Linked DNA regions of Elephas maximus indicus. The protein of the gene in region 3 interacts with the protein of the main gene of each other region in a pairwise test. Links are inferred from orthologs where the notes say so. Each region holds a gene or a part of one and is shown on either strand. Other genes may lie near its edges.

Region 1 (10,727 bases), on a different chromosome or scaffold from region 3:
CTCACAATACCGGGAATCATGACTCAGTCAAACTGATATATATATTTTGGGGGTGGACATAATTTAATCCATGACACCCCCTTACAAAGGTTTCAGGATTTGCTGGTTTTACTGTATTTGTACTTGAAGACCTGAACAAGAAGGTTACGAAAGCACTAATTGTAATAGCCTAAAATGGTTCCCAGAGTGGTCATGTTAATGTATATCATTTCTTAAAACTGTTATACAATGAAATATGTCACCAATCAAATCTGCATGATTCAGTGAACCAGTATTTTCCAAACGACCAACGTACGTGTGAAAGATTCCTTCAAAGTGCAAGACAGACCAATGGATCTTAATGTCACAGAGTACAAAAAGTCCACTGATATGGTTTGAAATTCTACACTGCAGCTAACCTTTGAGAAACTGTTAGGTTTTGATGAGTTATCAAAGAAGAATACCTATAGTTACCTGAAAAGGCTATTATAATATTCTTCCCTTTTCCAAGTATACAGCTGAGTAGGCAGGATTTTCTTCACATACTTCAACCAAAACAACATATTACAAAAGACTGAATGCAGAAACAGACATGAGCCACTGGTCTAAAATAGTAAAATTTGCAAAAATGTAAAACAATGCCACTCTCCTAAGTTTTTTTTGTTTGGGAAAAGAGTTAATTTTCATTGAAATGTTATCTATGTTAAGATGCAATAGGTTTGTTGTTATTATTTTTAAATGTACCGATATATATTTTTAGACGGCACTGGGTTTTTGGGTAATATATATTTTAAATATTTATCATTTTTAATATCTACTATGGTTTTAAAAGTGTAAAAGACTCCTGAGACCAAGAAGTTTCTGAATTACCGAATTACACGCTTCAACATGGCTTAATTTCAGAAACATAATGTTGATCAAAAGCAACCCACAAATACACGATATGATTCTAAATAAAGCTCAAAAACAGGCAAATGTAAACAATGTGTTGGTTAAAGTCACACATATAGCTGATAAAAGTATAAAGAAAAGCAAGACAATAATTAAGATAAAATCCAAGATGACCAAAGCAATAGCGGTGGGAAATGCTTTGTTTCAAGAGGCACACAAAGGGCTTCTAAAGAACTTGTGATGCTTGACTCGACAGCACTGGGTGACTGGGTTTTACTAAGTAGGATACACAGATTTTTTTTTTTTTTTTAAACTGGGCATCTCAATGGCATATTTCACAACAAAAATTCTAAGAGAAAAAACAGGTAGAGATACACCTATTCCCCAGAAAGAAAAACTCCAAAGGACCTCTCTTCTCAAATTAATCTGCAAATTCAATGCGATCACAAACTATACCCTAATGAAATTTTCTATAGACTGTTTTGTAAAAAGATGACTCTAAATTTCATCTGCAAGAGAAAATGGAAAAGGAAAACCCACAACTTTTTTAAAAACAAAGTACCAAAATATATTATAAAGCTACAATAATTAAAACAGTATGGTAATACCTAAATGAGTCAGAGAAGTATGTTCAGAACACAATAAAAAATGAGCAAAGGGTATGAAGCAGCAGAATGTTCAACTTTCTTATTAAGGATCATATAAAATTTAAATGAGATAGTCTTTTCAGTTACAAAATTGACAAAATATAAAAATACATATATTGTTAACATACAGTGCTGGCTAGCAGGGAGACAGAAACACACCTTTTTGAGAGAGTGAATATAAAACGGTACAATCATCTGAGGGAAATTCAAAAGCATATTATCCCACATTCTCATAAGAAATCAATTCTACAGAAATAGAAAATACAACCTTTCAAACACTGTCTTTTTCTTAAAATAATTGTGGACAAACATATTTTCACTTTTTATTTCTTCTCTGGCCTGTCTTAGCTTTGTTACAAACCTGGTGGGCAGGGTTACAGCCAGCCTCACATCCTGTAATATTAAATACCACGATCCTCCCCTTTTTCCATTTTAATCCTTCTGGAACACCATGGGCCCTCAGGTCACTAAATGGTAAACCACAATAACGTTATATACTTGGTACGATATTTTTCAAAAAGTTTATCATTCTAATTTTATCTTACAGGGAGAATTAAGAAGGGTAAGAAAAGCTTACCTAAATCTACAGATTACAAATAAAGTGGTGATTAAGAGAAATCTGAGGACTTTTAAAATATCTTCCTCAAATTATGAGGTTAACATGCCACGTTTTCCCACAAAATGCTGTTTAGTGCCACCTTCAGACAAAATGCTGAGTTGCACAGGCCAACATTATGACATTCCTTGTGCATTACCCAATTTTTTTGTTTAATAATCTTCCATGCAGATAGACCTCTTTCTTTTACATCTACTGAAAAAATAGGTCAAGCACTGCCCTGAAGTCTCTTCAGAAAGAAACCTGAGCACCAGACTTTCACAAAGACCCTGTAGGTGCAGAGTGTGATCAATATCACCGAAAAATACAAGTAGAAATTGAATTGGTGAAAGTTTTGCTGCGTATGCTCTAAAAAAAAAAGAAAGAAACCGTATAAAATTACTTTCTAGCGAGTCCAAACTAAGTGAGTAATATCTGCCAACTATTTAAAACATAGCCATAACACCCATGAGGATGAAGCTGTCCTCTGACGAGTAACTCAAAACAAATGCTTCAACTGTTCTACGCTTTTGCTCTCAAAACCGTGAAGAACGACGAACATTGAAGCCCTATAAACCGGTTGCCATCAAGTCGATTGCGACTCAAAGCGACCCTTCAGGACAGAGAAGGGCTGTGTCCCACGGGTTTCCAAAGCTATGATCTTTATGGAGAACCCTAGTGGCCCAACGGTTAAGAGCTTGGCTGCTAACCAAAAGGCTGGCAGTTCGAATCCATCTGCCACTCCTTGGAAACCCTGTGGGGCAGTTCTAGTCTGCCCTATAGGAGTGCCATAGGACCCCAACAGATTTGGTCTAGTTGCTTTTTTAATCTTTAGGAAAGCCCACTGCCACATCTTTCTGCAGCGGCTGGTGGATCTGAACTCCCGACCTCTCCGTTAGCAGCGGAGCGCTTTAACCACTGCACCACCAGGGTTCCTTGAAGCCCTATACGAACTAGTAAAATGGTGACTTCCTAGAAACAATTTAGATCTACGTTTGCAGCGCTGAGAATGCCGACAGGTTGCAAAAGACCGAGTTATTCAAAAAGGAGAGATGATTCCAGAAAAACAGCAACCCCTCTCACTCCAGCTCAGGGCTTCAACCGATTCCTTCCGGTTGGGCTGGCAGCTGAGAATCTGCCTTTCCACCCGATACACTGAATCACAATCTACATTTTAACAAGACACCCACGTAATTCTTATGCATGATAAATTGAGAACCACTGGACTTACCATACATAAAAATAATTTGGGGGATCTTGTTCAAAGATAGATTGTGATTCAGTACATCTGGGGTGGAAATGCAAATTCTTAGCAGGGGGTCCAAACAGAGCAGCTGGCTAGAAGCCCTGGGGCAAACATGCATCAACGCGTTCATCAGTCATCCAAGAAAAACATGCAAAACCAATCATAATTTTAAAAAGTGTAACAGCAAAGCCACCAACAGCAACTACAAAAGTCCCAAGCAGCTATATCATGCATTTAGCCTTAGAAGACTGGAGCTTTGCCTTCCTTCCAATCGTCTACACAGGCGCACAAAACAGCGCGCCCCAAAACCGATGAAGTTTTACCTGTACTTTGTGCTGCCGCCGCCCCTGAAGACTTCAGAGAATTGTTCGATTTCTTTCCCATGCTTTTAGATTTTGTCTGCTCCTTTCACACGTGCTTCCTTTCTCTCGGTCCCTCCTGGCCAAATGTGACACATATAACATATATTTTCGAATTATATATTTTTTTAAAGTGACGTCTTTCTTCCTCTTTGTAATAAAAACCTCCAGTAGCTTCTGTATATTCCCCTTCTCCTGAATTTCCAATAGGCGATCTCAACCCCAAGTTTTCAAAAGCTCTCCAAAATTCTACCTCAAAAGAACCCAAGCCTATTCACGTTGCAGCTCGCCTGCAATACAGCCAATCTTTTCTCTCTGTCGTTCTGCCAAGAACGCGGGGAGGAGATGACTACGAGTAAAAGCGGGGACGACTTAGGAGAGTGGGAAGCCCCGAGTCCCGGTTTCGGCGGCGGCGCCTGAGCCACTCTGTGTCGCTCTCGAATCGACGCCGCTCTAAGGTGCTCAAAGGACGGAGGAACGGTGGGTCAAGGACGAGACTCGAAGCCGTCAGGTCCCCCGCGCTTTTCAGCAAAGCCTCCAATTCTTCCCCGAAAAGGCCATAGAAAAGCAAGAACCCCGTGACGCTACACGGCCTGAGGTAACATGTCGACTTTCTTACACACGATCGCAAGCAACCGGAAGTAAAACCTCGCGGCCGAAGGAAAATGAGAAAAATAAAAGAGAAAGTGAAAACTGAACTATAACATCATCCTTAGAGGTAGGAACGAATCACAGAGCAGATACCGAAGCGCAGGCGCGGGTCGCGTTCGGCGTACACGCGGCACTTGCCTCTTCCCTCTGCGCAGGCGCGAGGGGCTAGCGGGGCCCAATGATTGGCTTTCCTGGCTGGCGCACCGCCAGATGCAGCAGGCGCGGGCGGGAAGACCCTGTACGCGTCCTGTGGAGTGCCTACGCGGGCTATCGGTGGCGCTGGTTTTTACCACAGACGTGGGTGTTGGCTCCTTTAAGGGTCTCCCAGCGCAACTGCCGCGACGCTTGTTTTTTTCCTTGCCAAAATGTGTTAATTCCCAAATATCATCCTTGTTTCAATTTAACAGGTGTTGAACACATGTAACATTTGTGGATGTGCTAGTTCCCTAGGAAAACGCCTCTAGAAGGTTATGATCTATACAGAGGGAACTAAGATGACCATAACCCAAACCAAACCAAACTTGTTGAGTTGGTTCCAACTCATAGGGACCCTACAGGACAGAGTAGAACAGCCCCATAGGGTTTCCAAGAAGCTGCTGGTAGATTGGAACAGTGGACCTTTTGGTTTAGCAGCTGCAGCTCGCTATAGCTCTTAACCACTGTACCACCAGAGCTCAAGATGACCATAAACCAAAACCAAAAACTAAACCCAGTGCCATCTAGTCAATTCCGACTCATAGCAACCATCTAGGACAGAGTAGAACTGCCTCATGGAGTTTCCAAGGAGTGCGTGGTGGACTTGAACTGCTAACCTTCGGTTGGCAGCTGTAGCACTTAGCCACTATGCCACCAGGGTTTCCAAAATGACCCTACCAAATCAAAACCAAACCCGGTGCTGTCCAGTCAACTCCGATTCATAGCAACCCTATAGGACAGAGTAGAACTGCCCCATAGAGTTTCCATTGAGCGGCTGGGGGATTGGAACTGCCGACCCTTTGGTTAGCAGCCCTAGCACTTAACCACTACACCACCAGGGTTTCCAAGATGACCATAAATAACATTAACTCAGCTCTCTCCTTATCTGTGATAAATACCAATGAGAAGTATAAAGTGCTACAGATACCCTGAGCCAGGCACTGTGCGGTGCAATGGAAATAGGAAGAGATTCATTCAGTTGAAGCCGTGTGCCAGGTTATTGTCTTAGGCACCAGGATTACATATGAGGACAAGATCGACAAGGTCCTTGCGTGTAAGGGAACTTACTCTAGAGCTGAAGGCCAAGCAGGTAAACAGCAACAAAATATAATTTCAGATAAGGATATGTTCTATGAAAACAAACTGGAAATGCTGGAGAATGGGGGCAGAAGCTGGAGGCCAGGGACAGAAGAGGCAGAGCTGAATAAGGTACATTTGAAGTCAAACAAAAAAAAAATTTTTTTTTGAAGTCAAACCTGAATGACACAAACTGCATCAACCTGTCCTTGGAAGATCTGGTCGCTATGAGTTGGAATCGACTTGGGCAGTGGGTTTGGTTTTGGAAGATCTGGAGGAAGAGCTTGACAAGTGGAAGGTAAAGGAAGTGCAAAGGCCCTGAGAAGTGAAGTTAAGCATGCTCAAGAACTGAAGAGGTCTGGCTGGAGAAGCAGGGAATAAACCATAAAATAAAAAAAGTGCACAAAATCAGAATGTACAGTTTATCACAAAGCAAACATTCATGAAAACACCACCTCAGTCAAGAAATAGAGCATGCTAGTATCCCAAAGTCTCCCCTTTTCTCTCAATCACTACCCCCTTCTCTACCACTAAAGATAACCGCTATTCTAACTTCCAAGATAATCTTTTTTATTTTTCTTTACAGAGTTGCCATTGAAGTATGCATCCCTAAACTTTCATAGTTTAATTTTGCTTGTGTTTTGAATTTTATATGAATTGCTTTGTGTCTGATTACTTTGGAGAAATACTATATGAGATTCATCATGTTTTGTGTGTTTTTTCATTTTCATTGCAATATAAGTAGGTGTGGATATAGCACATTTTCTTTTTATTTTTTTTTTATTGTGTTTTAGGTGAAAGTTTACAACTCACATTAGTTTCTTATACAAAAATTTATGCACACATTGTTATGTGACCCTAGTTGCTATTCCTATACTGTGACAGCACACTCTTTTCCACCTCAGATTTACCATGCCCATTCAACCAGCTCCTATCACTTTCTGCCATCTCATCTCACCTCCGTAGCACTTTTTTTTAATCCACCGTATGGTTCATGAACATCTGGATTGTTCCTAGTCTTGGCTATTAAGAATAATGCTGCTATTGAACCAGGTGGTCATGAGAAGGTCATTAACCATCCCATAATAGTTGTTTTTCAGAAAGCCTACTCTTGCTACATTTTTGCTACAGCACTTCAACCTGATTGGTCGAATCCCCAGGTCTCTTCTCTTTTCCTAGTGCGAGGCTGAGGCCCAGGCGTATTATGAATTTGCTGGCTATGTGACCTTCCAGAGGTGACAGTAGCAAGCAAATCACCATTTTAGGACCACACAACAAGAATTAGGCATCCGACACTTGCGGACTTCATGTGCATCTTCCTATCGCAAGACTGAAGATCCTCCCCTTGCTGTCCATGCATATGTATGTCACTCCCTATAAAAGGTGCAAATCTACCCTAGTTGGGGGAGCTGGCAGCCTTAGGTCACAAGACCCTGCCTGTCTCCCAGTTTGCAAACTGCGAATAAATCTTTCTGTCCTTCCAACTCTGCATCTGGCTGGCTTTAATTCTCTTGTCTGCTTGACAAGAACCTATTTATTAGTTGATGACTTCACTATGAATGTACTTACTTCTCTTCTGGTGCACATGTATACTCATTTTTGTTTGGTGTATACCTAGGAGTAGAAGGCAGGCACGCTGGGTATAATAGTTGGGGGTTTTATTTGAGTACATATTTATTCCTGCCCCCCTCTGTGGTGCAATCCTTTGAGTGGCTTTTTGCCTTGATTCTTTGGCAAAAGAGTTTGGGAGATTTTCCCCTAAACCCTCAGAAATTGTTATTTTTGCCCTAGTTCTTTGGAGAAACAGCCTGGGGGAAAGGAGTGCTACTCCCAGGTTGTTGATTACCCCAGAGGGTTTGTTACTTTTGTTCAGGGGATTCCCCAGGTTGATTGACACTTCCTGGGTAAGCTGTAAACAACTTAATGCTTTGAGACTTTTATCTGGTAATTAACAAGACCTGAGTTGATTGACATCTCATGGGTGACTGACCTTTGGTTGAATTCTGGTCTGGTGAGGGAGGCCCTGCCTTGTAACTAAGGGGGAGTGGGATATACGAACAGCTAAAATAGGTAAGTTTTAGCAGCCGCCCAGTTGAGAAAGAGATGTTGGGTAAGTGCTGGGCTGGTAGAGAAGCAGAACCACAGGGGAGCTAAATGATCCTGAAGCTGCTACATTGGCTGTGAGCTAAGCCAGTTAGTAGCAGAGAGGGCTGATGCAGGAGAGGCCTAATGTGAGAGAGCAGCTATGAGAGCTGAGCAAGCTGCTATACTGGCTGTGAGCTGGCCCAGTTAGCTGCCTAATGGCAGAGAGGAATAGTGGAGAGCTGCTGCTGGGACAGAGGCTGAAAGTAGAATCCCAAAGTGGGAGAAAGGAAAAGAGGAGGAAAAGGAGAAGGCAGCAGTGGGGGTGTTGGTAGAAGAGGAGAAGGGGGCTCTGAATTCCTCCACAGCTTTGCTCCCTCTGAGGAGTAAGGCCCATGATGAAGGCCCCATGGAGGCAGTGGAGGTGGAGCTGGAATTGCACACCCTGCAGAACAGGTAGGCTCTGTGGCTCTTTAAGAATGACTTCAGCCAGGTCTTGCATCTGGTCACCAAGTTTGACACTGTGGAGGACTTTTGGGAGACGTACAGTCACATCCAGCTGGCCAGTAAACTCTACTGGTTGCAACTACACTCTGTTCAAGGATGGCATCCATCCCATGTGGATTAAGCATCAGGATTAAGCAGGGTGGCCACTTGCTGGTCAGCCTCGCCAAGCACCAGCGCCACAGCGAGCTGGACCTTCTCTGGAGACACTGTTGTGTCTGATACGGGAGAGCTTTGAGGAACATAGAAGGAGGCATGTGGGGCTGTCGTCAACATTTGCACCAAAGGGCACAAGATTACTGTGTGGACACGGGAGGTGAAGAGCCAGGCCAGCGTGCTGCACGTTGGGCATAGCCACCAAGAGCACCAGGAACAAGTTTGCAGTGTATAGGGGTCTCGGGAACACTCACATTTCAATTTCACGACCAGAGCCTGTGTGTGTGTGTGTGTGTGTGTGTGTGTACATGATGGGGGGAGGGCAGCTTACACAGCTGCTCCTTGACATGACTTGGGGGGCAAACAGCTGGTTCTTCCTGTGTCCTGGAGTGAATATGAACACTTCTTAATATGATTGGGGGCTAGGCATGAGGCTAGCTCTGTGGGGGAGGGCCCAGCATTACCTGGAGCCAGAGCCGGGGGGAAGAGATTGAGGGAACTTCTGGGTTTCCTTTTTTCATCTGGGGGTAGGGTATTAGCTGGGCCAATTAGTGGTAGAGAAGTCAACAGCAGAGAGCCTGACAGTGGGGAGCCCAATGGCCAAAAGCCCAACAGCAGAGAGGCCTGCACAGCAGAGAGGGCAGCTACTGGCAGAGAAGCTGAGTTATGGCACATGCCTGGCAGAGAAGGCGGCTGCCTGGCAGAGAAGGCGGCTGCCTAGCAGAGAAGCTGCATCCACTGATCACAGGAGGAGGGCAATGGTGTTAGACAAGAACGGTGCTGGACAAGAACACGTTAAGTGTACCAGAATATGCGTAGTAAGAGTACCAGAAAGTGAGGAGAGAAGGGAGAAGAAAAATATTCTAAGAAATAATGGCTAAGAACTTCCTAAACTTACTGAAAAACAATAAATTACATATCGAGGAAACACAATGATCTCCAAGTAGGGTAACTGCAAAGAGATCTACAAACATACACATCATAGTAAAAATGCTGAAGTTAAAAAACAAGGAGAAAATCTTGAAAGCAGCAAGAGAAAAATGTCTGCGTCTTCTGTAAAGAAGTTTATCAATTTTATTGATCTTCTCAAAGAACCAGCTTTTGGTTTCACTGATTTTCTGTCTTCTGTCTCATTTATTTCTGTATTTCCCTTTATTTTCTTCCTTCTCTTTTTTTCTAATTAAGGTAGAAATTTAAAACATTGATATGAGAACTTCTTTTCTAATAAAAGCCTCAAATTTTATATATTATTCTTGAAATGCTGCTTTAGATACAGTCCACCAATTTTAATATGTTGTGTTTTATTTTCAGTCAGTTCAAAGCATGTGCTAATGTCCTTTCTGATTTTTTCTTTGACACCTGGATTATTTAAAATTATGTTGTTTACTTTTAAATACTTGAGTATTTTCTAGATAACACTCGTGTTGATTATTGATTCCATTTTGGTCAGAGAACATACTTTTTATTATTCTAATCCTTGTAAATTTGTTGGGAGTAGTTTTATGGCCCAGAATAAGGTCTATCTTAGTGAATGTGTGTACTGGAAAAGAATGTCCATTTTGCTGTTGTTCTCCTGAGTATTATATAAATGTTAATTAGGTTAAGTTGATTGATAAAGTTGTTCAATTCTTCTGTATCATTACTGGTTTTCTGTCTGTGTGTTCTATCAATTAGTAAGAGAAGTGCTGAAATCTCCAGCTAGGATTGTGGATTTGACTAATTCTCCTTTCTGCTGTATTAATTTTTACTACGTGTATTTTTAAATTCTGTTGCTAGGTGCATACAGATTTAAGGCTGGCGAATTGATTTGATGAATTGGTTATTATGAAATATCACTCTGTCTATGATAATATTTATTGTTCTGAAGTCTATCTGGTATACTGTAGCCCCTCCAGCTTTATTTTATTATTTGCATTGTCTATTTTCCCCATCATTTTAGTTTTAGCTTATCCATATCTTTACAGTTAAAGTGGGTTTCTTTTAGAGAGCATGTAGTCAGGTCTTGCTTTTTTTAACTTAATTTGGTAATTTCAGATTTTTAGTTGGAGTATTTAGACAATTTATCCTTAATGTAATTATCAATATGGTTAGGTTTAATTTATCATATTACTATTTGTTTTGTATTTTCCCCTTCTATTCTTTGATTCCTTTTTAATTTTTTTCTGTCTTTTTTTAATTGAATTTAGTGTTTTATTTAATGATACTATTATGTATCCACCATTAACTTATTGGAAACCCTGGTAGCGTTGCTATGAGTCAGAATCAACTTGATGGCAACGGGTTTGGTTTTTTTTTGGTTTCCATGGTGTGGTGGTTTACAGCTACAGCTGCTAACCAAAAGGTTG
Region 2 (9,926 bases), on a different chromosome or scaffold from region 3:
ATAGGGTTTCCAAGGAGTGGATGGTGGATTAGAACTGCTGACCTTTCGGTTAGCCACTGAGCTCTTAACCACTGCACCACCAGGGCTCCACCCATTGTAGTTCAGTGTCTTAATTCAGTTACAGTAGTTCCCACTGTCAAAACTGACTTACATAAAACAGCAATCACAGTAGTCTTCAAGGACACTAGAGCTCTCTTTATAAATTTGTTTCTCACGATTGTGATAAAACATGTGTCCTCAGGGTACTCCATGTGTGGGTCTGTGGATCCAACCTGATAAATTCACTCTAAAACCAAACTGTTACTGTCGAGTAGATTCCAACTCATAGTGACGCTACTGGCATTCTAACATGCCAATTTCCCTAAGTCTTTGGATACCTTCTTCTACAATAAACTCAGGCAGGTCTGGCATTTCAACTTGATTTAGTATAGGTCACCGCTTAATCCATGCTTTAGTGAACCAACCAAATAAGCTATTAGATCTTTTTCTAACTTCTCGAGCAAAAACAGTGAATGAAGAATCTGTGCTTAGTGATCACATATCAATAAACTCAGACTGGTCCAACTTTATGCTTTTTGCACCATTATCCCATGCCCTTAATAGCCATTCCCACACATACTCCCCAGGTTCCTGTTTGTATATATCAGAAAAATCAAGCAGTTCTTTTGGAGTGTAGCATATTTCCTCAGGGGTCATACTTTGTACTTCACTTCTTGGGGCTCACTGGGACTTGAGTCTAGTTATAGGTCTAGAAGCAAAAATGCTGGCAGGGGTGGTTTGGGGAACATTCAGCAATGTTTTGTAAGGCATCTGTCTTAGGCAACGCCGCCGGCAGTATCTCAACAGCTCTTCAGACACAGCTGGGTTAACTCAACAGATGGGGGTGGAAGGGATAATGGTTTAACTAAGGAAGGGAGCTTAGCAAACAAAGATGGCGGAATCTCTTCAGATGGGAGTAAGAGGGCTAGTTCTGTTGGCAGGAGTGATTTAATGGAATTTAGGGGCTCAATGTCCCCAGCTTCCTGATTATCTACCAATGTGCCCCATCCCACTTTTTGGGATCCCATTTCTTCCCAGTCAGTGTCCTCACTTTAATTTCAGACATCATTCAAGGTTACAAATTCAACTGGCATTGTAATTCAGACACTCTTAAGACTCTGGGTTTGGCTTTTGGCAGCATCAGCTCTGTTACTACAAGAAAGGTGATTTCTTTCAGGGCTCAAGTGGGAACTTTCAGGTCTTTTATATGGCACTTATTTTTTTTTAAGCTGTGACTCTGAAGCCCTGAGCTCAACTCGTTCTTTCACCACTTTGTCCAGCAAAACCACGACCGACCAACCAGCTTATACTTCTCATTTGGATGAAACCGTAGAAAAATATCAAATATGCGATCACCCAGAACCTTATCTCTCACAAATACTTTACCATGGGTGATGTTATTTTGTGTATTTCTATGGCCACCTCATGCCATGGATTAACAGTGTCCTCTTTACTACTAGAGACAGTCATCAGCACCTTTAAGGCTAGCCAGGCTTGAGAAACAATTCAGAAAACTCATCCTCCTTATGAATTTCCCCTCTAGAACCACTCTCAGTACCAAACGTTTTTCTCCAGAGAAGAAAAACCAATGAAGCACGCATATATATATATATATATATATATATATATATATAAATTTATCTCAAGAAAACGGCTCACGCAGTTGTAGAAGTTGACAAGTCCCAAACCCATGGGTCAAGCATCAGACTAAAGGCTTCTCCTGACTCACGTGGTTGCGGTAGCCAACAAACCCAAAATTGGAAGGTCAGGCGGAAGGCTGCTGGCTCACATGGCTGCGGGAGCTAAGGAATCCCAAGATCTGCAGATCGGGCAGCAAGTTGCTGGCTCACGTCCCAAGAACAGAAGTCAGAGGATGACCGATAGGATACAGGATCCAAGAGAGAGTTTTGCCAGAACATTCATATATACATACTGGCTGCAGGCTGCGCCCCTAAGGAAACTGATTGGCTTTCGACTGAATGGTCTTTCAACAAACTGGCTGTTCACATCATATCGCAAAATGGAGAATAATTACATAATACCTGCCAAACCACTGGGAATCATGGCCTAGCCAAGTTGACACATAACCTTAACCATCACAGCTGCTAAAGTGGCTAAGGCAAAGATGAACATGGATAACTTTTCAAGCATCTGCCCAGCCCATATCCTCCCCTCCTCTGAGAACTCTCCCTGGTTAGTCTCTGTCGGTCACCTGAAGTCAACTGTAAGGGAAGGGCCATCTTCTATCAAGTGCAGGGAGAAGCAAAGACAGCTGATCCACACAACAAAATGGAGAGAAAGAAAGAGGGAGAAAAGTTTCTTTGGTTTCTGACCACTTTCCAGTTCCTGGTTCCACTCCAATGTAAGCACCGTTTCTGCCCTGTACTGGTAAATAAATCCTCTGCTTTTTTGTTAAGCTTCAACAACATTTATAAAAGTCTAACACAAGTTCTGGAAAAGTTCTCATCAATAAAAATAATAGGAAGAGAAAAATTTGCAAATATTTGTCACTACACAAAAATTACTACCGCAGGTGAGAATAATTTCAAAATGCAGTCTTCTAAACCTAATACATGGATTTACAGAAGTGAAGCTCAAGCATGGTTTTTTCAAAAGCTCTACAGGTGTTAAAACCTCCAACCTGAGGTTCATCAGCCACTAAAACCCTTACTTGAACTTGGCAATATGAACATCCTTTTCTTATCATGGTCCTCTATATAAACTAGTCCAAAAACCAAAACCAGCGCCGTCGAGTGGATTACAACTCACAGCGACCCTACAGGACAGAGCAGAACTGCCCCATAGAGTTTCCAAGGAGCCCCTGGCGGATCTGAACTGCCAACCCTTTGGTTAGCAGCCGTCGCACTTAACCACTACACCATCATAAAATGCATGAACATGGCTTTTCTACTGCATTCTAATTCCTTTTGGGGGGGGCGGGCGGTGGGGGACAAATGGCAGGCATTATGTAAACTACAACAATCTCCTTTCGACCAAAACCAAGAATATGTTCTTCTGTAAGTTACTAGCCAGGTAACAAATGACTTTCCTCCACCAGATCCCTCACCGAAAAGTAACATACAAAACTGACTCTTTTAACAGATTCTTCTTCCTTCTTATTCCAAAAAAGTAACCCTAACATCATAGTCTATGTTACGCAAACTGGCTGCAGTTAACTTAAAGTTGACATTCATTCCTATTTTGAAATATATATTTTTAAGTATCAGGGTTCCCGTCCTTACATATTCTATTTACATAAACCCGGACATAAAAAAAAACATAGCGACCATAAAAAATAAATCCGGCTCATTTGTCACACTTAGTTTTCTTTCAGTTAAGGACTCTGAAGGTTATCAGTCTGAAGGAAAAAAAAAAAAATTCTGCTAACCTCCATTATACTCCATTACAAATGTCTACTATACAAAGATAACTATCAAGTTATGACCTTGCTCTAAGGCTAGGAAAAAAATTTTTTTTTCCTCAAGAGCAAAGCAAATTCACTGACAAAAAAAAAAAAAAAACTCATGACAACACAGACTTTCTAGATTTCTTACCATGGTACCAAGAAAATATCGATTACTGAAGGCAAGGCTCCCAAAAGATCACGCTTCCAATATGTGGAGGAAACACTGGTTGGAGGAAGGGGCCTTTTCTTGTGACAGACCTGACTACACGGTATCATCAGCCACAGAGAGGAGAGAAACATTCTCGAGCGCAACTTCACCTTTCAGAAAATAGTCTTCCTCCAAGTAAGTGGCATGTAGACTTCTCAATCGCCATAGACACGTACACCCCTTGCGAAGGTGGAAAATAAAACGCTGTTTTTTACCTCAGACCTTAAACGGGGAAGTCGGGTCCCACGTGCCCCTCCCCAGGGCGGCCCCTACCCCCGCGCCAGGTGCCTGGATTCGCCAACAGGACCCAGAGGCGGGCTCGCCCTCGGCCCCAGGCCCACAGCACCCGCAAGGCCCAGGCGTCCTCCGCCGACTCGCTCCCCTCCCCCGCCCACTTGGGCGCCGGCTCGGACGCGCGCCGGGAGTCGGGGTCGGCCAACCGGTCCCGGCAACGAGAAGGTGGCAGCAGACGACGTTGCGGCTTCCCCGCCTCCCCTCCCCCCGGCCTCTGCGCTCCACTCCTGGCCCCTGCTTACCCTCAACTCTTCGAAATCCGCCATTTTATACCAGCCGCGGACGCTGCCGCTACTGCTACCACAGCACCCCCTCCCACTGCCGCCAACAACGCCGCCGCCACCAGGGCCGCCGCCGCCGCTTCCAGCACCATCCTGCACTGGGCGCCGCTAAAGACGCCGCGGCCACAGCCGCCGCCGTCGCCGCCGACGCCGCCGGGACCCTCACGTGACTGGCACGGGAGCTCCGCCCCCGGCGCGCCGCTGCCCCGCCCCCGGTCTCCCCTGCCCAGCCCGGCCACCGCCTTCCGCCCGCGCCTTCTCCCACGCTCTTGCGCGCGGCTCTCTTCGCGTTAGATCCCTCTCTCTCCTGCGACCCGCACGTCTTCTTGCGTCTGGTTCTGTCGCCTTGCCTTCCTCAGCCCTCGTTGTCACTTCCCTCCACATCGCGACGCCGGTCCCGACTCCGTGAAACGCAGCAGCGACTGCAGCCTTACCGGCAGGCTTAAGGAGGATCTGGCCCGGGGAAGTGGCAGAGAGGAAGAGATGGACGGGACTTGTGACAGGAGCAGTTCGGCAGAATTCTTATGGTGTCCTTCCACGCAGTGGCTGTGGACCGAGGAAGCAGCTGCAATAAAAGCATTCCTCAGAGTAGTCGTGGCGGAACAATCTGAATATGGGTGTTGGGTAAGCTATTGTTGTATCTAACGGTACAGGATTGGGGAGATCTCTTTAAACTGCTAACATCCTCAAGTAGGAACCTGGCCCAGCCTTTGAAGGGCGAGGGAATGTCATGGACTGCACAATTGAGACTCTGGGGGGTGAGGGGAGAGTGGAAGTGAAATAAGAGAGCGCTCAGAAGGGCCCTGATAAAAAGTTGAGGGGTCAGGGAAATCAGATAGCTAGGGAAGAACTAATGCCATGGCAGAGGAGCTGGAAGGAAGCTTGATGGCACCCCTAACATGCTGATGAAAGGATGAGAGACAAAGAGGATGCTGAGTCAAGCTGGTATCCGAAAATTCTCTGAACTGAGCCCAGAGTTCAAATTTTCTTGAAGATGTGGGTGGAACCCATCCAAGGAAGGCCTTGAAAACTTAGTGGAACTTACAAAGAGCCGTGTTGAATCTGTCTCCTGTCTAGCTACTTCCCACTCCCCCTCACTCCAGAAACACTGCCCATGTTTCAGTTCCTCCACCAGACTTTTTTTCCCTATGTTTTAACCTGTGAATGCAAATCCCTGGGCCAAGAATAATTTCCCACTTTCATCCTCTTTTCGAACTTCTGTAAATCTTTCAGGTCTCAGTTGAAGTGTCACTTCTTCAGAAAGACCTTCCCTAGCCCCATTTTAATTCATATCCCTCTCATGACCTCTCATAGTACCCTGAACTTTTCCTTGATAGCATTTATCCACGGTAAGTATAGGGTACAGTCAATTCTTGTTATTTGTGGTAGCGGCGTTCTATAAAATCTTTGGGAACACTGAACCATTGCTCCAGGGAAATACAGGGTTAGGTTCCTGCAAGCCTCTGGTCACATTTTCGTCAATCTGTCAATACATAACCTTGTTTTATGTGTGTTTTCTGTTTAAAAAACACCTTATTTAGTATATATCGTTGATTCATTAACACTGAACTCATGGCCAAGAGCATTATAACTTAAGCCTGAATGAAGCTCATTGACCACACGTATTTTCTCTGTAAGGCACATCAAGGCCTTCTTGCACTTAGGAACACTAGATAGCACATAAGCACTAGGCTTGGAGGCTATTTTAAACAACAATATAACCAGCCAAAAGCACAAAAATGAGAAAAATGTAGCACTAAATAGACAGCTAAAAGGACACTTGTTTACTGTATGAGAGCTAAAACAATAAGGCACAGAGTCATCTTGTTCAGTCTCAGCTAGGAATGTGCACATCTGGTGGCTCAAGTTTTTGGCCACTTTGTACACGTTTACAGATAACCAGGAAAGCACCATATTGATGTTGGGGTTACAAATAAATTTTAGCAAATAAAATCTGCAAATAATGAAAGTCAGCTGTATTCCAGTGATTATTATGTAAATAGTAAAAATAACTGCTTAAAAAATTTTATTCTAAAAAAATTTTTGAACCCCCTGGAATGTAGTGGAAACCCTGGTGGTGTAGTGCTCAAGAGCTATGAGTGCTAACCAAAAGGCTGGCAGTTTGAATCCACCAGGCACTCCTTGGAAATCCTATGGGGCAGTTCTGCTCTGTCGTTTAGGGTCACTATGAGTTAGAATTGACTCAACAGCAACGGGTTTTTGTTTTTTAGACTGGAGTGCCTAATAAATAGTAGGCCTTGTATTTGTTTAATGAATAAAGGAGTGAATGAACCATGTGTACTACCTATACTGTCTAGAGTAAATTCTCCACCACTAATTCTGTGATCTTGCCTTATTCTTGATTTTAGCTTGTTGTTATTATGCCTTGGTTTACACCTCAGTATAATTTATGTTGTTCAGTAGACATTAAATGAAGGCCACTGTGGGCTAGAGGCTGATAGAATAGACAGATGAATAAAACACACAAAAGCACTGCCACCAAAGAGCTTATAACCCATAAGAGAGACCAACTGAAATATGAATAAAACTGTAAGAGAAGCAAGGCCACACCGAGACTTGTTTGTAGTATACATTGTAATCACTTCCTCAGTGTCCATTCTGTCCCTCCCCCACTGTATAGCAGCTACTGGCTAGCTTGGGTAGGTTTGACAGCAAAGAATTCTAGATGCTACCCCAGATTGTCCTAAGCCAATAAGAACTATTATGTCCTTATCACAGTGATAAGATCAGAGCTAGACAGATGAGACCGATTAGTGCAGAGCATTCCAGGCCTTGCCAAGGAGATCAAATGTGGGCCCATACCCTAAGATAACATGGGTTATTTATTCACTAATTAGAGATGCAGAAATATACTTTCTGGTATATGAAACGCTATACCCATTTTCCTACAATGAGGGGCCAACTTGAAGACCAACCCTTCTCATGAGCAGGTGTCTTAGGCTGAAGTTTCTAAAGTAGTAAAACTGTGTGTGTGTATATATATGTAAATATATACACACAAAGATATGTGTGTACATATATGTAAATATATACACAAAAAGATATGTGTGTATATATATGTATATATATAAAGACATATTTATTTCAAGGAAATGGCTCGCTAAGTTTTGGAGGCTGGCAAGTCCCAAAACTGTGAATCAGGCATCAGGCTGGAGGCTTCTTCTGTCTCACATGGTTGCCTGGGCTGATGAACTCAAGATCTGCAGGTCAGACAGCAGACGACTGGCTCACATCCCGAGAATTGGAGGTCAGAGGATGAGGAGTCAGATGCAGGATCGAGAGAGGAAGAGCTTTGCCAGAACATCTATATGCATTGGATGCAGGCAACACCTCCTAGGAAAAACTCCTTTCAATTGATTGGTTGCTCACAACAGATCACATCATGGATAGTGACTACATTATATCTGCCAAACCACTGAGAATCATGGCCTAACCAAGCTGACACATAACCTTAATCATCAAAGCAAGTTTCACCAAAAAAAAGAAAAAAGTATAGAATTAACATTGACACCCACCTTACCTCTATTTTTCAGGTTTCTTTAGCCACTATCATCCCTTTATTGTAAATAGTTTGAGATGGGTCTTCTATTATTTGCAGCCAAACGAATTCTGAAATATGGTGCTACTTTGTCTCTCTAGGCCGCATTACTAATTAAGCCCCTTTTCTAGACTGTGCTCCCTAATAGTTACTCAGTATTTGTTTAAAGGAGATGCTGAGTGGTTGTTGTTGTTAGAGGCCGTCAAGATGGCTCCAGTTCATAGTGATCTAATGGATAACAGAACAAACTGTTGCCTACTCCAGCTCCATCTTTATGATCATTGCTATGGCTGAGTGGTAATGGGTAAAATTGCTTACTGTCCTGAGCAGTTCAGCTCTGACCTAGATTTCTGTAGCCTACTCATCAAAAAGAAATCCCTGTACTCACTTAGATCAGTTTCCTTAGAACGTAGCATAACAAAATGTTCATTAAAAATATAGAAATTAAACACATAACATAGTAAATGAACATGCCCAGTTATCTCCCAAGCTCATATTCCTCAGGCTGGTTTCCTCATTCATCACAGCTGTCATGGATTGAACTGTATCCCCCCAAAATATATGTCAAGTTGGCTAGGCCATGATTCTCAGTATTGTGTGATTGTCCATTTTGTGATGTGATATAATTATCCTCCATTTTGTGATGTGTTGTAAATCCTATCCTCTATATACCACCATGTGTCTGTCATTTTGTTGTACAGTGGTGCTTGCGTGTTGCTGTGATACTGGAAACTTTGCCACTGGTATTTCAATTACCACCAGGGTCACCCTTGGTGAACAGGTTTCAGCAGAGCTTACAGACTCAGACTAAGAAGAAGGACCTAGTGGTCTACTTCTGAAAAAATTGGCCAGTGAAAACCTTATGAGTAGCAGTAGAACATTGTCTGGTATAGTGCCAGAAGATGAGCTCTTCAGGTTGGAAGGCACTCAAAGTATGACTGGGGAAGAGCTGCCTCCTCAAAGTAGAGTTGACCTTGATGACATGGATGGAGTCAAGCTCTCAGGACCTTCATTTGCTGACATGGCACAACTCAAAATGAGAAGAAACAGCCAAAAACATCCATTAATAATCAGAACATGTAAAATACGAAGTATTAATCTAGGAAAATTGGAAGTTGTCAAAAATTATATGGACTGCATAAAGATCAATATCCTAGGCATTACTGAGCTGAAATGGACTGGTATTGGCCCATCTGAATCAAGACAATCATGGCTTACTGTGCCAAGAATAACAAATTGAAGAGGAGTGGTGTCACATTCATCATCAAAAAGAACATTTCAAGATCTATCCTGAAGTACAAGGCTGTCAGTGATGGCATAATGTCCAAATGCCTACAAAGAAGACCAGTTAATATGACTATTCAAATTTATGCACAAACCAGTAAGGTCAAAGATGAAGAAATTAAAGATTTTTACCAACTTCAACAGTCTGAAATTGATCACACATGCAGTCAAAATGCTTTGATAATTACTGGCAATTGGAAAGAGAAAATTGGAGACAAAGAAGAAGGATTGGTGTTTGGAAAATACCACCTTGGTGATAGAAATGATGGCAGAGATCACATGATAGAATTTTTGAAGACCAATGACTTCTTCATTCCAAATACCTTTTTTCAACAGTATGAACGACAGCTATACATGTACACCTTGCCAGATGGAATACACAGGAATCAAATTGACTACATCTGTGGAAAGAGATGATGGAAAAACTCAATATCATCAGTCAGAACAATGCCAGGGCCGACTGTGGGACAGACCATCAGTTGCTCATATGCAAGTTCAAGTTCATGTTGAAGAAAATTAAAACAATCCTTGACAGCCAAAAAAGGCCTTGAGTATTTCCCACTTGAATTTAGAGACCACCTCAAGAATAGATTTGATGCATTGAACACTAGTGACTGAAGACCAGACAAGTTGTGGATGACATCAAGGACATCGTATGTGAAGAAAGCAAGAGGTCATTAAAACACCAGGAAAAAAAAGAAAAAACCAAAATAGATGTCAAAAGAGCCCCTGAAACTTGCTCTTGAACATAGAGTAGCTAAAGCGAATGGAAGAAATGATGAAGTAAAAGGGCTGAACAGAATATTTCAAAGGACAGCTCAAGAAGACAAAGTAAATTATTTCAGTGAAATATGC
Region 3 (10,636 bases):
AATAAACAAAGGAAAAAAACCCCTTACATTTAGAGAAAGATTCTGAAACATTTATAGGTAAAACAGTATCTGAAATCATGTCTGGAATTTGCTTCAAAATAACTGGTGGGGGAGTGTGGATTAAAATAAAGATGATATAAATTTATGCATGACTTAATGATTATTTAAACTGGGTGAAAGGTATACAAGGACTCATTATACTGTTCTCCCTACTCTGTAAATTTTCCATAAGATGTTTTTAAAAACATTATGTGATTCTAACGAGCTACGATTGAGAACCACTGAACTAGTCCACTAAAGAAGGCCGGCACCACTGCCACCTTCGCTATCAGTACTTTTATGTCTTAGGATTTCTAATTTAGAATTTGAAAGCTACAAACTATTAATATGCCTCACTTTGGAGTGAAGCTCTTCCACATATGACATTATGTGGTAGCTATGAGTGCAGCTGACAGAAAGATTGTCTCCTCCAAGTGAAATAGCAAAACCACCAGGAAAAGAGGCAAAACAACAATTAGAACTATAATTCAAAGGTGTTTAAGTAAAATGTTGACGGAAGAAGCGAAGAGGGTAGATTTAGAAGTATAAAATTTTACATTTGGAAGAGACCTTAAAATTATCAAAACCAATTCTCTCATTTCGTAGATAACAAGATCGAAGTGAGGGACTGAAGATCCAAAATAGGCCCCAATGCAGACTGAGCACTGGCTTTTATTCAGGACACTGATTGCTACAGGCACTGTTTGACAAATACTTAAATACTGAGTCATCCAAGTAGGAAAAGGGTAAAAATACAATAAGGAAAACCATCTTTGAGAAAGCTTTGATGAAGTAAATTCAGATGGCTGCTTAGACAGCCCAAGTGATGAAAGAGAAGTCCTGAAGTGGGAGAGGGAAGAAAAGAACAGAGACAAAACTCCTAGAAATGCTCAATTACCCTCACTTCTCCCTGGGGCAGTTCTACTCCATCCTATAGGGTCACTATAAGTCAGAACAGACACTACAGCAGTGGGTTTGGTTTTTTTTTTTTTGGACTTCTCCCTCTGTGATTATTTTCTCAATTGGGCTCCAGGGAAATACACAAACTATAGACTCCAAATTTCATGCTACCTATGTGGCAGATAATACTCTATTTACTGTCTAAAACTCCAGTTTTGTGGGAAATGATGAGGTAATAAGAAACACATCCCATTCTCTTCAATCCCTCCATTTTTCTATTTCAGCCCAGTCAGCCTATCTGGATGAACGTATTTAATGCGGAAAGCTCTAAAGTGATTGGAAACATTAGCATAGTAATCACAATGCTGTCATGCCCATCTGTCCTTTCTGTAGGATGAACACAAGTTGCTGCCTTGGAATTGAGAAGGAGGTCTCAGGGCAACTGTGGGTTGTCGTTTTTTTTAGCCATGGCAACATTCTGAGGTACTACTGGGAAGTGGAGAAATCCTGCAGTCCAGGAATCATTTGCTTTCCCATGAGAAGCAGCTGGGTATTAAGCAAGCGCAGCCTCAGCCAATAGCAACTGTGAAGTACAGGATGAAATTTATTAGTCGACCAAATGATGACTTTTATTGGTCCCCCAAATTAGGATTGTTCTTGTTGTTAGATTCAGTGGAGTCGACTTTGAGTGACCCCACGTGACAGAGCAGAACTGCCCCATACGGTTTTCCGGACCCTAATTTTTACGGGAGGAGATCGCCCCAGAGCGGCTGGGTAGATTCAAAGCGCCAGTCTTTTGGTGAGCAGTAGAGCTCTTAACCATTGTGCCACCTGGGCTCCTCGATTATTCAAATAAGCAATGGGTTCCTGCTAACAGCCACACCAGTGGGGGAAGAGGAACAGGTGTGCTAAGCTCCTATGGCAAAAATGATACAAACACATAGAAGTTTTCAAGAAAAAGAAAATATATTTACCTATTTCAGGACAAACTGATAAACTGTCACCTATGGTCAGCAATTCTGGCAACCTACCCTCTGAAGTTCTCCGTTAGGGCTTACATACAGTTCATAATTTAGCAATGGTCTAGAAGTGAGCAACCGTGCCTTTTAGAACCAAGGATTCTGTGGGGGCTTATTATCCCTCATCCTAAAAATGTGACTAAAAGATTAATCAGAAAGCCGTAAAAATAAGAGCTCTGTTTCTTCATCCTATTTTGAGGCAGCACCGCAAGAGAAATTACCATCAACACCCTGTGACCCTGAAAAACCCGTTTGATTCAAAACACCGTAACCCAAGTCAGTGTGATGAGAACGAACCAGGAAAGGGAGGAGGAGCCCGCGAACCAAGCCCACTGAAGCATTGCCACCAACCTTGGAGTCCTGCAGGCTGAAGACGCTGGGGTCATCGGTGCTCCCGACCATGATCTTGTGCTCCTTGCCCGAGGCATGGCTGCCGGCACCCTCGGCACGCGCAGCCTTGGTGCCGTGGCGCTCCCCGGACACCCGGTCGCTGGTGGTGTTTCCCATGTTTGCGGCTCGAGTCGGGAGCCACCTGCCGCGGGGAACGACATGGGGCGAGGGGACACCCCAGCTGCTGCGTCAGGAGCGACGCCGGTCCCGCCCCTGCGCCCTGGGACCCGAGCAGGGAATCCCCGCCCCAGGGAAGCCGTGCCCAGGGATCCCGTCCCTCTCTAGCTTCTAGGAAAAAAAAAAAAAAGAGCGCCCCTAAATCCCTAGGTCCCCTCACCGCCCCCCTCCTCAGGAAATCCGCTTTCGGGAACTGCCCCGCATCCCCGCGCTCACTGCCCTCATTGCAAACATCCCCCACCCCAATCACCTCCCGCGATGCGCTCCCTCCTCCCGGGACCGCTGGTGCAATGGCTGTTCTGCGGGATAAGGCCCCCAATAAAGTTATTGAAATTGAAGCCGCGCCTCGGGGTAGCGATCCGGATTTCCTCCTAAAATGGCTACAAGGCCAGTAGCACTGGGCACGCCCCACACACGTTCCCTGAGGCCGCGCCCCCGCGGCGCCCCGGGGCCGGCCGCCTCTCTAGCCGTCGCCGCCGCCTCAATGGTGGGCGGACGCGCGCGGCCTCCAGCGCCAGGCGGGGGCGCCCGACTCCCAGCCCTGCGATCACCGGCGCTTCGGGCTGGGGCCGCCGCACAGGACGAGGTGCTGCAACCGGGATTGCTGGTGAGACCGGTCGCTGGGCCTACCCTACGGAGAGGACGGCCCATGAACGATAGTCGGCGGCCACTTCCCTGACTTCCAGTGTTTGGTACCTGGAGGAGCAGTGCTGCTTTCCTCCCGTCCCGCTCACCCAGCCCAGGTTCGTCAGAACGTTTTCTGAGCTGCGTCCTGGTGAGAGGCGATCCCGAAGAGGTGGGCTCCTATAGGGAATTAGAAAACGGCTTCCTTTCCAATTCCAGCAGAAGGAGGTAGTGGTAATTGCGCGAGGTTTGAGCTGGGTGCTGTAGGATCGACGAGGAAGGAGCAGTGAGCCGATTGGGGCTCTAGGGAATATTTGAAGAAGTATGAGATAAACCTTGAGAAATAAAGAAAATATTAGTCTTAGGACAAGAAGAAGTGTTTGTATTGTAATTATATGCATTTCTCATTCCCTTCTAGAAACTTGCTACTCAACCTGTGTTCTACACACCAGCAGCATTGGCGTCGTCTAAGGCCCCCTCCTAGACCTGAGAATCAGAATCTGCATTTTAACAAGATTCCCAGGGGATATGTGTGCACATTAAAGTGTGAGAAGCACTGCTTTGACAACTCAGTAGGGCAGATCAGATTCAATTCCTCTTCACAGCCTTTCTGCGCCAGACCTTGTGCTGCTTTCTTCCCGTCCCTCTCACCCGGCCCCAGATTTTAATAATCTAAGTAAGCTTTTAATAAAGATTTGCAGAGTGAAGGGTACAGGGATACTGTTTACTTACCTTCCTAACAAGATAAGCCACTTAGGCTTAATCACAGCCAGTGATGGGCCACCCAAGTCCACCTTTTCTGAGTGAGCAGCTGTTTGTGGAAAAGTTTGTTTTTATATCAAGTTGAACATCTGCTTGACTCCAACAAATCCTCTCCTCCCCCATCTTTTCTTGCTGTGCCCCTTCTAAACTCAGCCATTCTCTGGCCCTTAACCAAAGAATTTGCAGGAAAAAAAAAAAAGGTACAATTTTACTGCAGCCTCTTGCTCACTGCTAAATTTTGACTAACTCCTATTTGTTTACCCCTACCCTTTCCCGCAAGGAGCCCTGGTAATGTAGTGGTTAATAGCTCTCCTGCTAACCCAAAGTTTGACGGTTTGAACCCACCCAGCGGCTCCAAGGGAGAAGGACCTGGTGATCTGCCCCTGTAAAGATTACAACCTAGAAAACTGTATGGGGTAGTCCTACTGTCACATGGGGCCACTGTGAGTTGAAAATCGACTGATGACACCCAACAACATCCCCTTCCTTAGTTTCTTTCATCCCTTCCAGTAGGATTCTGAAACAAGGCCCTTGACTTGTGCACTATTCTGTTCTCTAACCCCTGGGTGGTTTCTGCTTGCTAAATAATATGTTCTTGATATGTATTGCCTTATAATAGTATTAGTCTACAGAAAATTTATTTAAGAGAAAGAAACTGTTTTTGTAAATTATTCTACTATATTTCAAAGCCGAATTTGAACAGTGAGTAAGCCTTCCTCCTGAGATGTCCTAAAGTCTAAAAATTTGGACTGTAATCACTGAGCTAACATTGTAATTGTTAATTCTGATTCTGTGGTTCTGAATGAATGTTCTGAGGTCTTATTTACATGTCTTGCCATGACTAAATGAGTTTATGCATGACGCACCTGAGTGTGCCTCTATTAATTCCTAAGATAAACCCTGCATAACAACTCCCAGTAAAAGCTCTGGACATGGAAACTCCATGGGCTTCCTGGTCGATGAAAGACATCGATACACTTGGGAGGGTAGCGCATCCCTTTTTGGGACACAAAAGCTTGGTGTTGGCACCCCTCCTAGACCTAGCCTATGCATCTCTTCATTTGTGTGCTTTTTTCCTGTAATAAAACTATGATCATATGTATAGTGCTTTTTGTGAGTTCTATGAGTTTTTCCATAGAAGTGTTATACCCAAGGGAATAGTGGGAGCCAGTGGATCAGAAGTGAGGGGGCTGGGGACCCCAAAGCTTGCAGCTGGCATCTACAAGGGGTGGTGGGAAAACCCTGAATTTGTAACCAGCAGGTCAGAAGTGAAGGGGGCCCTAGGGACTTCCAAGATTGTGGCTGGAATCTGTGATCTTGGGCCAGCTTAGTCTGGAGGACTGTGCCCTTTAATCTGTGAGCTCTGACCTAGCTCTGGATGGTTAGAGCCAGAGGAAGGAGTGCTGCATGCGCAGCTGGTGTCAGAACAGAAGGGGCAGAAAAGTGAACAGTGGGGATTTTGATTTATGTTGATTATTCTCCTCCTAGTCTTAAAATGTGAGTCAGTAAACAAAATGTGGTATAGCCATACAATAAAATACTACTCAGATAAAATACCACTCAGCAATAAAGAAACAAACTCCTGATATGCACAGAAACGTGGATGAATCTCGAATGCACTATGCTAAGTGGAAGAAGCCAGATTTCATTTATATGACATTCTGGAAAAGCCAAAAACAGGGTCAGAAAACAGATGAATGGCTGCCAGGAGTCAGAAGTGGGAAGAGTGGTTGACCACAAAGGGGCATGAAGGAATTGGGAGGGGAATTACGGAACAGTTCTATATCTTGATTGTGATAGTGGTGTATACGTTTGTCAAAACTCACAGGACTGTACACTGAAAAGGGTGAAATTTACTGTATGAAAATCATGCCTCAATAAAAAATATAACCGTCTGTCCACTTTAGTACTGTTATCTGCCTTTCATATTCCAAAGAACTTGCGTATGAATTATATTACGAGATCTTCAAAACCTGTGAAGGAAGGCAGAAGAGATGATTATATCCTCATTTTTAAAATGAAGTTCGGGTTAAATATTAGTGTTTCTTGAAATAACATGTATAGTCCATTTATTTCAAGCCTAGTACTTGCTGGGACTGTGCTAAGCATAGACTGCTTAAGTAAGCCCCTGCTCTGGTGGAGCTCACTGTCTTGAAATAATTAAAAAAACCAATTTGACCCCAAATAGGTATGATCTATGGACACTTAGAACTAAACATTCACTGAGAATGTCCTTCAAAATACATTATTGGAAGAATTTGTGTCTCAATTAGTGTCTTGGTCAACATGCATCATTTTTGTTAGGTGCCTTCGAGTACGTTCTGACTCACAGCAACCCCATGTACAACAGAACGAAACGCTGCCTCATCCCGCTCCATCCTCACAATCATTGCTGCGTTTGAGCCCACTGTTGCAGCCACTGGGTCAGTCCAGCACAGGAATCCCGGTCCAAAGGATGCACTCTGCTCCTGGCACTGCTTTCTTGGTGGTATGAGGTCCCCACTCTGCCTGCTTTTGCTTTCCTTTTATCTCATGTGAGGCAAAAGGTGGTACAGGGCACATACCAGGGAAAGTCCCTTTACATTGAATCAGGGGTGTGACCTTAGTAAGGATGTTACCATTCCACCCTAATCCTCTTTAACAAAATTACAATCATGAAATGGAGGACAACCACACTTTACTGGGAATCATGGCCTGACCAAGTAGATGCATATTTTGGGGGGACACAATTCAATCCATGACACACCCCAACATGGAATTATATTCTCCAAGACCTTTTTTGCTACAAAAGTGGCAGTTGCTTCTCTGCAAGGAAGAGCTACTCAGTGAGAGAGCATGCAAATCATTATTAAAACAAATTGATAACCCTGAGAAGGGGGCAACTGGATGAAATCCATTTGCCATACTAACATGGGCCCTCAGGGTTGTGGAAAATGACCAAAGGAGTATTTCAGTGTTTTCCAGGAGTGAATAAAGGACTTGTGGGGCAAGCCTTGTGAATATCTGTAGTGGCTTTCTGAAATTTACCCCACTAATAATTTTAATAATTTTGCATAATTTGTATCATTTTATCTATAGCATAATGACTAGCTTCATGTAATAGATGAAGCATTGGATACTGTAAGGATGAGGGAAGGACAATTCTCTTATTTGGTTCAACTCATTACACAGATATTGGGTCTACTGTGCATCTTTCCTTTGTCTATAAAGCTTTTTCTCAAGTTCTGCATTTTCTTGTTCAGTTATTAAATCATCCTTTGAAAATAGAGAAATTTCATTAAGTTGTGGTCCAATTATTTCTGTCAGTATAACTTTATTTGCGCAAATTTAGGTAGCTGTCTTTTTGCCATATGATCTGTGAAATGGTTTCCTTTCATTTCCACAGAAGTAAGCTCTTTTTGGTGGGCTTGTGTTTTAATAATAGGTAGGCTTTTAGGTAATAATAATACATCTAATGGTTCTTTAATGAGCTGGCTATTTTTAATTTCAGTCCCAGACGATGTTAAAAGTCCTCTTTGTTCCTATAACAGTCCAATATTGTGTACAACTTTAATCTCATATTGACAGTCCAAAGTAACATTGGCTACTAGGCCTTCAGCTAACACACAAGCTTGGGTCAGAGCATATAGCTCTGCTTGCTGGGTTGAGGTGGCTTTAGGGAGAGGTTCCTTTTCTATTACGTCAGTAGGGGAGACTATTGGATAGCCAGCCTGAAATTTGGAGGAGTTTGGGGATGGTTTAAGATATGACTGATCTACAAACAAAATAAGATCAGGATTCTCTAAAATACATTCTTGTAAATCAAGCCTGGGAGTTAATAACTATTCAGTAAGATTTCGGCAGTCATGCATCAGCTCAGATGAGTCCATGATAGGCCAATAAAGTGGCTGGATTTAGGGCTTTGACATGCCAAATGTGAATGTGAGGAGAGGAAAGTAGAATAGCTTTATAGAAAGCCATATAACTGGTGGATATGTGCTGGGTTACCCCAGAATTTAACGTAGCATTGACTCCATGGGGAACAAAAACGTTAAGAGTATTTCCCATTGCTATATCAGTAGTATTTTCTTTTAATTTTGCAAGGGCTATGGTAGCTCACAAACATGGGGGATAGGCATGAGCCATTGGATCTAGTTCTAAACTATAATCCTCTGAAGGTCTTTGCTGACTGTTAACGTTTTTCTGTTAGCACAAAGGCAGTCCCTTCTCTCTCATGAATGAACAGCAAGAAATCTAAATTGTAATTGGGATATTCTAAAGCCAGGGCAGAGTGCAGAGCACATTTTAAATTATCAATAGCTTTATCCTCATCTGAACCTAAAATCAGGACACCAGGTGCATTTCCGTTTAATAATTCATACAAGGGTCAAGCTATCAATGAGAAGTTTGTATCTATATCCAACAATAGTCACATAACCCTAAAAATCCTCTCAACTGCCTCTTGGTTTCAGGAGGTGGGAAGTTAAGGATTCCTGCTTCCTGGCTAGAGTTTAATGTGGCACCTTTGACAAAAAGAAGGTGACCTAAATATTTAACTTGAGTAGAGGCCAGCTGACGTTTTTCTTTCTTTCTTTTTTTTTTTTAATTGTACTTTAGTTGAAGGTTTACAGAACAAACTGTTTTCTTATCAGACAGGACACACGTTGTTCTATGACACTGGTTAACAACCCCACAACATGTCAACCCTGGGTTCACTATTACCAGCTTTCCAGTTCTCTCCTGCCTTCCAGTCCCTGCCCCAGGGCTAGTGCACCCCTTTAGTCTTGTTTTGTTCCATGGGCCTGTTCAATCTTTCGCTGAAGGGTGAACCTCAGCAGTGACCTCATTACTGAGCTGAAAGGGTGTCTGGGGGTCATACTCTCAAGGTTTCTCCAATCTCTGTCAGGCCAGCAAGACTGGTCTTTCTTTTTGAGTTAGAATTTTGTTCTACATTTTTCTCCAGTTCTGTCTGGGACCCTCTATCGTGATTCCTGTCAGAGCAGTCAGTGGTGGTAGCTGGGAACCATCTCGTTGTACTGGACTCAGTCTGATGGAGGCTGTGGTAGATGTGGTCCATTAGTCCTTTGGACTAATCTTTCCTTTGTATCTTTAGTTTTCTTCATTCTTCCCTGCTCCCGAAGGGGCAAGACCAGTGGAGTATCCTAGATGGCCACTCACAGGCTTTTAAGACCCCAGATGCTACTCACCAAAGTAGAATGTAGAACATTTTCTTTATAAACTCTTATGCCAATTGAGCTAGGTGTTCCCTGAGGCCATGGTCCCCACAGCCCTCAGCCCCACAATTTGGTCCCTCAGGGAATTTGGATGTGTCTGTGGAGCTACCACAACCTCGCCTTATACAGGTTGTGCTGGCTTCACCAGTATTGTGTACTGTCTTATCCTTCACCAAAGTTACCACTTCCTCTCTATTAGAAAATTCTATAATACCTACACCATTTATTCCCTCTTTTATTGTTCTGATGTTGTTGTCATTTACATATTAACCTTTCCGGTTCCCTGTTGCAATTCTTTTGGTTTTGGATAGTCTTCGAGAGTTCACTTCCTGCGTTGGTATCTGGCTGGTACAATCTTGCATCCTAGATTCAGGTTGTGGTCTGATGTTGCTTGTTCTCAGACAGAAGGACTCCCTTTAATACTTCTTGTAAGTTTGGTTTGGTTTTTACATATTCCCTTAATTTCTGTTTACCTGGAAATGTACTAATTTCACCATCATATTTGAATGAAAGTTTTACAGGCTATATTATTATTGTTTGGCAATTTTTTTCTGTCAAGGTTTTATATATGTCATCCTATTGCCTTCTTGCCTGCATGGTTTCTGCCAAACAATCAGAGCTTAGTCTTATTGTTTCTCCTCTGTATGTGAATTCTTGTTTTTCTCAAGCTGCTCTCAGGATTTTTTTCTCTGTCTTTGGTTTTAGCGAGTGTGATTATGATATACCTTGGTGTTTTTCTTTTGGGGTCTATCCTATATGGGGTTCGTTGAGCTTCTTGGATAGTAAGCTTTTCATCTTTCGTGATATTAGGGAAATTTCTGTCAGCAATTCTTTAATGATCCTCTTTGTGTTTTCCATTTTCTCTCCCTATTCTGGAACACCAATCACTTGCAAGATTTTGCTTTTGATTGCATACTGTATAATTCTCAGGGTTTCTTCATTTTTCTTTGTTCTTTTTTTCCTTAAACAGAATTGTATCCAAGCGTTTGTCTTCAATTTCGCTGATCCTGTGTTTCATCATTTCAGACCTGCTCCTCAGACCTTCTATGACACTGTCCATTTCTGAAATCCTGTTTTTATCTTATAGATTTCTAATTGTTCTTTTTGTATGATTTCTAGTTGTGAATTTATTTTTAGATTTCTAATTGTTCTTTTTGTATGATTTCTAGTTGTGAATTTATTTTGGCATTTTGTTCCTGGACTATTTTCCTGAATTCTTCCATTTTTTTTTTGTCTGTATTTTCCATGAATATGTCTGCGTTTTCCATAAATTTGTCTATTTTTCCTCATTTCTGTCTGCTTTTTGCTTCAACTCTTGGATAGCTCTGAATATTAGAGATTTGAATTCCCTGTCAGGTAGTTCTAGTGCCTTTTCTTCTACTGGAAAGTCATCTGCTGTTTGATTTTGGATGCCTACTGGAAACATCCTGTACTGTTTTTTTTTTTTTTCTTGATATGTTTTGACATTGTCTGCTGTCTTCAGAACATTTAGTAATTATTTTCTTTGTTTCT

The links. The genes of interacting proteins can lie anywhere in the genome.
Region 1: the proteins of PRKAB2 (region 3) and TASOR2 interact in binary tests that used the Homo sapiens proteins (3 or more experiments, as listed by UniProt). The link is inferred for Elephas maximus indicus from reciprocal best matches to the Homo sapiens genes PRKAB2 and TASOR2.
Region 2: the proteins of PRKAB2 (region 3) and PIAS2 interact in binary tests that used the Homo sapiens proteins (3 or more experiments, as listed by UniProt). The link is inferred for Elephas maximus indicus from reciprocal best matches to the Homo sapiens genes PRKAB2 and PIAS2.

The regions. Positions count from the first base shown.
Region 1 is NC_064822.1:53,201,777-53,212,503, forward strand, and holds the start of TASOR2 (protein TASOR 2), read right to left. Parts: upstream 4,389-10,727; 5' UTR 3,743-4,388; coding exon 3,682-3,742; intron 1-3,681.
Region 2 is NC_064829.1:55,598,430-55,608,355, forward strand, and holds the start of PIAS2 (E3 SUMO-protein ligase PIAS2), read right to left. Parts: upstream 4,389-9,926; 5' UTR 4,214-4,388; coding exon 4,190-4,213; intron 3,746-4,189; exon of another isoform or gene 3,597-3,745; coding exon of another isoform or gene 3,594-3,596; intron 1-3,593. UniProt on the Homo sapiens protein: Functions as an E3-type small ubiquitin-like modifier (SUMO) ligase, stabilizing the interaction between UBE2I and the substrate, and as a SUMO-tethering factor.
Region 3 is NC_064821.1:159,053,785-159,064,420, reverse strand, and holds the start of PRKAB2 (5'-AMP-activated protein kinase subunit beta-2), read right to left. Parts: upstream 3,939-10,636; 5' UTR 3,882-3,938; intron 3,485-3,881; 5' UTR 3,222-3,484; intron 2,918-3,221; exon of another isoform or gene 2,776-2,917; intron 2,491-2,775; 5' UTR 2,466-2,490; coding exon 2,310-2,465; intron 1-2,309. UniProt on the Homo sapiens protein: Non-catalytic subunit of AMP-activated protein kinase (AMPK), an energy sensor protein kinase that plays a key role in regulating cellular energy metabolism.